2 linked regions of the Drosophila melanogaster genome follow. The protein of the gene in region 1 interacts with the protein of each later gene in a pairwise test. Each region holds a gene or a part of one and is shown on either strand. Other genes may lie near its edges.

Region 1 (3,201 bases):
TGCCCCTGCTGCTGGTGGTGCTGATGCTGATAGAACAGGGTCTCTATATCCCTGGGTATTAGCTGCTGTCTTAACAGATCCTGATCATCGGGATGCGTGATCTGCAGTAGATTCTGGCCATACAAATCGGACTGACAGTGACCCAATAGCTGCTCCACGCTGGTGGATACCAAAACGATTTGGCCACTGCAGGTTAGGGTGAGGAAGCAGCAGTCCAGCAGTTGCATTAGAGTGTCCGTTAGATGCAGACTGGGATTGGGTAGATCTCCGACAGGTGAGGCAGACATACCCGTTCCCTTGAGGCCGGTTTTCTTGCGACGTCTGGAAGCGGACTTGCCAAAGACATACTGAAGTCTCAGGCCATGGGTGGCGAATCTAAGGACGGCGGTTTTGTCCAGGCGACGGGAGGATTCGGCTGCATGTGGTACCATGGTGGCCAGCTCCTGGATGCTGGCATTAAGCTTATCCCGTCGCTGTTTTTCGGCAAGGTTACGGGCCTCCCGTCCATTCGCTGGATCTGAGGAGCTCCCACTTCCCGATCCCGATCCCGATCCCGATCCTGTCGAGCCAGCGGATCCTGTGGAGCCCGTGTTGCCCGTCTCTGGTGCTGCCATTTTGGACTTTTTGGGCGTTTTCTGGAGTTACTGCCTCCTTGTTTTCCACTTGTAATCCTCGATTTATGGATTTTCCCCTTTAATTGGCGCCTTGCGGTAAATGAAAATCGTCACTCTCCATAACAGGGTGTACGCTCCGCACTTCTAGAATTGTTATTATGGAAATTTTTCGGCTAAAATATATTTTTTATTACTTTTGCAGCTTTTAGTTTCTTATTTTTGGCTGTTGTCTTGTTTTTTTTGCTGCTTTTAAAGTTTTCAAGGTCTCGCTTATGCTGTGCTGTTGTTTTTGTTTTTGCTCGCCTCCCCTCTCTCGCTCACTCTCCTTCGCTCACTGACACACACACACACACGTCACTCTCACGCAACGTACATATGTTTTCTCTTTTCGCTTTCGTACTTTTCCACTTGCTTTTAGTCTTATTATTACTATTATTTGCTTCCCTATTTATTTATGCGTTTCGCCTTGTAGTTTTTTATTTTTCGTTTTTTTTTTACGTTTTGATTGCGTTGCGAATCTGAATCTCCTGCTTATTGTTGTTGCTGTTGCTGGTGGCGTTGTTGTTGTTGCGATTTAATGCCCGCAATAAGGAAATTCGGAGGGCGGCGGTCGTTTTAACAACGCACTTGCTGCTTGCACTTATTTTTGTTTATACTAAGTGATTAATTGTTTATTTGTAACATTTATTTTATAACAATAAACATTGGCCAGTCTAAAAACTATCGATACATCGATGTAACTGGTTGTCGTACTAAAATTCGCACGTTCACACCGGACAAAATATCAGAAAGATTCGAACATCTTGTTCGCTGTCGATAACATTGTTGTAATACATGTAATCTATCAGGTCTTTTTATAATTCTATTATAAATTATTTTTATTAATTCTTATTATAATACATAAGTCCACAGTAATAATGTAATAACTTTTGATGTTACAATAAATCCATAAATATTTTTGCTACAAAATTCGAATAATTTCGATAGCAGACGTCATGCAATTTTATTATCGATTAGCACGCTCGATAACTATTGGCGCTCTTTCTTGTTTACGGCATTTCATTTTCTGCTGAAATTGGCTGTTTTTTGAACGTTATTAACTGAGGAGTTATTATGGATGCCTTTGATCCACGCTCGATTATCAACGGCGGCATGCTGAAGCAGTTTTCCGGCCAAACCGTGAGCATAATGGTTCGCGTGGAGAGCGTCGCGGGATCCACTTTGCTGGCCAGTTCCACAGACAACCACAAGCTAAAGATCAATCTGCCGGGTGAGCTGGGCGCCGCCGAAGGGGCCTGGGTCGAGGTCATTGGAGTGCCCCATGGTGCGGACACCCTCAGGGCCAAGGAGGTGGGTGCACTCAATCCATGGAGTCATTTATTTCAATGATCCCAAACCATTTGCCCACTATTCATTTGCAGGTCATCGAGTTTGGCGGCGAGAACATCGACTTCGATAAGGATGGCTATAATGGATTGAGCCACCTGATTAACAATGTCAAGGCCTTCTATCGCAGCGGCTAGGATGTCCACAATTATATCTAAGAATTAATATTATGTACTCTAATGTTATTTTTTCCATTTTTTTGGAGAACACTCAGAGCTGGCATTAACTTTAAATATAAATCATCTATCTACATATATTACGAGTACAATTTACGGGTGTTTTAACCAGTTCCACGTATATTCTACAACAAATACTTAATACCCACAATTTAATAACATAAACAACACATTCTTAAACGCTCTTGTGTAATAACATTTACTTCCACAATTTGTTATTGTATATATGTTGGTATAAAAAGACTAACTAGCAGATAATCAATTCAACAGTTGAACAATTAACATAGGGCGAGCCAGCTGACGAGTGATGACCAGTTGCATGGACTCCAAGTCCGTATGCAACTTGAGGGTTATTGCAGCACAGCCGCATTGGCCACCACGCTAGGATTGTTGACCACCTCGCCGAGCGAATCGAGAACCTCCTTTCTGTAGTCATCGAACTCTCCAACAATCTCGTTGATCGTCTGATCCTCAATTACGTAGAGAGTGCAACCTGTTTCACGGATCAAACGCTCGTCGTGGGAGACGATGATCACGCCACCCTCGTACTCGTTGATTGCCTCCGCCAAGGCGTCGATACTCTCGATGTCCAGATTGTTCGTAGGCTCATCGAGAATTAGTACATCCGGCGCACTCAAGCATAGCTCAGCGAGGGCCACACGGGCTTTCTGACCACCGGACAGATCCTTCATCTTGATGGTGTGTGCATGACTGACCAAACCAAAGGAACCCAATGCCTTACGCGCCTTTTCGTGGGGCAGATTGAACAGACGCTGCAGGTACTCTGCAGCCGATTCCTCTGCCGTGAGATGTTCACCTGAGTGCTGATCGAAGCGGCCCACATGAAGTCGGTGATTCTTGCGCTGCTCACCCTCCTGCGGTTCCAATTCACCGAGCAGCAGCTTGAGGAAGGTTGATTTGCCCACACCATTGGGTCCCACGATGGCCACTCGACTAGTTAGATCAATGCCAAAGTCAACCTTGATGAACAGCGGTTTCTGGCTCGGAAAGGCGAAGGTGACATT
Region 2 (3,649 bases), on another chromosome or scaffold:
TATGCTGTAGCATACGAAAAATGGTTCTTAAAATCCTAACTTGCATGAGTTGAATATTTCGAAATTTCAAATGTTCCCGGCTACTTAGTTGTAAAGTGTGGCCGTTTCTCCTACATCGAAATCGATAGGTTCGAAATGTAAACAAACATGGAAACTGAAACTGAAGCGCAGAAATTGTATTAGCTATGGCCAAAAATGTAAAGAAATTAACGTTGGCCAACAAGTTGGCAAAACGCGGAGATCTTATAAAACCCACGGAAATAAAAAGTCGTCCAAATAGGGCGGATAACGTGAGGGTAGGCGGAAATGCATGATAAACAATGAAATTGATACTCAAGACGCAGTTTCTAAATCTTCCAGGATATAGAGGATCTGGTTGGTGTATCTGCTGGCGCAGCAGGATCGAGTAGCTCAGTGTTCTTCTCCCCCGTGCAAACCCGCAAGCAGCGTCTCTTAAATGGGGAAGCCGTGAAGAAAACTAACATTAAAATGGAGCCCTTGTCTCCAGCTCGAGTGGCACCCAAAAAGTTTAGAAAGGATGATCGCATGGTAACCAGAGTTCAAATGGGTTCGGCTACTGTGGTCATATGCAAGGTGGTCCCTGATGCTGTGGACTCCCCAGTGAGAGTGGATAAGATAAGAGAGGAGGTGGAACCCCAAATAAAACAGGAAGCTCCGGAGGATTCCCCTTCTTTTTCTGAGGTGCAAGCACCACATCCTTTGTGGTTTAACCACCTAGAAAACATTCGCATTATGAGAAACTCCAGAACTGCGCCAGTGGACACCATGGGATGCCACCGATGCGCCGATTTAAAAGCAGACTCGAAGGTATTTCCAATAAGTGGAATTAAGTACATAGAAGAATATGTTACAAGCAAACAACTTCCTTGCAGACCCAGCGCTTCCAAAACTTAGTGGCATTGATGCTGTCCAGTCAAACCAAAGACCAAACTACTTATGAAGCCATGAATCGCCTTAAAGACCGAGGTCTAACTCCACTGAAAGTAAAGGAAATGCCAGTGACTGAACTCGAGAATTTACTGCATCCCGTATCCTTCTACAAGGTTTGGTGGAATTAATAATAAATAAATATATCGCACTTACTCTCGATCTCTTCCAGAACAAAGCTAAATACCTCAAGCAAACCGTGGAGATACTGACGGACAAGTATGGTTCGGACATTCCAGATAATGTCAAGGACCTTGTAGCTCTTCCAGGAGTTGGCCCCAAGATGGCCCATATATGCATGGCAGTGGCCTGGAACAAGATAACCGGAATCGGAGTGGACGTCCACGTCCACCGCCTTTCTAACAGGCTGGGCTGGGTGCCGAAGCCCACCAAGGAGCCCGAGCAAACCCGTGTGGCGTTGGAGAAGTGGCTGCCATTCAGCCTCTGGTCAGAGGTCAATCATTTGTTCGTGGGATTCGGACAAACCATTTGCACCCCAGTGAAGCCAAATTGTGGGGAGTGCCTGAACAAGGACATTTGTCCTTCAGCCCATGCTGAAACTAAAGAAAAAAGGAAGAAAGACCGATAGGAAAGAGGTTCAGCGAACGCTGAAAAAGGTTTTAGGTTTCTAAGTGTTTCTGAAATTATTAGTGCTAAGAAAAATATTGTGTTACCCATAAGAAAATAAATGAATTATTAAGGGGGCTGTAAGTCCTGTAAAAAATAAAAAATTTTGTGGTTTTTCTTTTTTTGTTTTAACTGAAAAAGGTATATTCCCAATTTATTACAATAATTCAGTTTTTCAGGAAAAATATTGAAATATTGACACTACAATATTTCGTATTTCTTATATACTAAATAGATGTTATTCCTACGTGTTCGACCTACGGCCACACTATCAGCTCTACGTTCGCGCGTTTTATTGTTTACCAGCGGCCCTTGTGAAATTATATAGAATACTCAATTACAAATCCCTCAAAAGCCAAGAAAATGAATGATTCATGTAAGTATAGCCCGTAGCTCAGAGAAATTAAGGGAACTAATAACGAAGCTCGTTTTAGTTGGAGATTTCAATGCCACACAAACTGCGCCAACTGGAGCCGCCAGCAATCAAAAGGGAGAAGTAAGTGAGTGAGACGCCAGTAAAGTTGCACAACCTAACATGATTCCGTATGATTGCAACTAGGGAATAGTGCCCCTGGTGGTGAAGCAGATTGTGGACGCCCCAGAGGGAAACATCGAGTTGTTCGGCATGCAGTACGCCATGGCATGTGTTGTGGCCATAGTGCGGAACGTGGAGACTTCCTCGACGAAGATCACCTACACCCTGGAGGATCATAGCGGCAGGATCGATGCGCACTACTGGCTTGAGGAGGGCGACGCTCTCAAGGCACCCGAAGTAATGGTCAACAACTACGTGAAGGTCTACGGCACCACCCGGTCGCAAGGCGGTTCCAAAACCCTAATGATCTTCAAGCTACTGCCCGTTTTGGATCCCAACGAGGTGTGCACCCACCTGCTGGAAGTACTCAATGCCCGCTACAGGGCCGAGGACTACCAGAGCAAGGGTGGAGCTGGAGCTGGTGCAGGGGCTTCTTCCGGCTCAGGCTCCATAGCTGATTTCACCGCCTCCCAGAGCTCGGCCATTGTCAGTGGGCTGGAGCCCAAGCAGCAGGCCGTATTCCAGGCCATCAAGAGCAATGTTTCCGAGGAGGGCATCTCCCGCAAGGAACTGAAAGCCAAATTCTCCCACATCAGCGACTCTGAGTTGACGTAAGTTGTTTATCCAAAACTATTGCATCATTTGATATTCTTTATTAATTAATATTAATTATAACATTTTATTGTTCCTATTTTTACAGCAACATTCTGGACTTTATGATTTCCGAGGGACACATTTATTCCAGCATTGACGCAGATCACTTTATTTGCACAATGTAAATCAAATCGTGTAACCACTATTTAATTTAAAAATGCGTATTGAATATATGTATTAAGTTTTTGAAAAACGGGAACATTTTCCATATATTAGTTGTACATTAAATATTTCTTATATAATCAGAAAGTGATTTTGGGATATTTTTTATTGGGACTGTTGAAAATGTGTATTTGAGGAAATCTTGCTCTTCAAGTTGCCGGTGTATGTGTATATTTACGGCTTATCATATGAAAAGTCTTCGGATTCATAGTCCTAAGGGAATTTAAAATATCTTACAAAAAAGATAGAAAACCTGAAATATTTTAATTATTTTATGTTTAATTAATATTCTTGTTCATTTATAAAATTGTAATGGATTATAAAGTTTTTTTGAATCGTTTCACTTTGCTTCATTTGATAAAAGGATGTGATAAGTTCATACCGCTTTATTTCATTATCAATTTATTTTTTAGATATATAACTAACTAACTTTTAACGCTAGTAAGTTAATTGTTTAATTAGGTAATGCATATTTTGATTGTATATCGGGCATAGTTAGATCGGATTGCAAAAAATTTATAAAATTCATTCAATGCGTTTTATTTCATTAGTTTTTGAATTTATCATAGAAAATTACAAGCTCAGGAATCAAAATCAAAACATAATAGGCATGCAAATCAAAAATTAAGATTAATATTTGTTGTGGGAATTTATAGCGCAAGAGAGCATTCCCCTTGGTCCCCAGGATCTTGCCAGTGAAGTTGAACTGCGCAAGTGTAAGGA

What was found.
Region 2: the proteins of RPA3 (region 1) and RPA2 interact in a two-hybrid assay, tested with the Drosophila melanogaster proteins (3 studies listed by BioGRID).

Annotation. Positions count from the first base shown.
Region 1 is NC_004354.4:11,614,281-11,617,481, reverse strand, and holds RPA3 (replication protein A3), read left to right. Parts: upstream 1-1,641; 5' UTR 1,642-1,727; coding exon 1,728-1,964; intron 1,965-2,035; coding exon 2,036-2,137; 3' UTR 2,138-2,385; downstream 2,386-3,201. Other genes in the region: Met (Methoprene-tolerant), read right to left, coding at 1-614; CG1703 (uncharacterized protein), read right to left, coding at 2,527-3,201.
Region 2 is NT_033779.5:20,924,336-20,927,984, reverse strand, and holds RPA2 (replication protein A2), read left to right. Parts: upstream 1-1,837; 5' UTR 1,838-1,938; coding exon 1,939-1,951; intron 1,952-2,009; coding exon 2,010-2,071; intron 2,072-2,134; coding exon 2,135-2,721; intron 2,722-2,810; coding exon 2,811-2,889; 3' UTR 2,890-3,010; downstream 3,011-3,649. Other genes in the region: Nthl1 (Nth-like DNA glycosylase 1), read left to right, coding at 186-296, 361-828, 894-1,064, 1,121-1,537.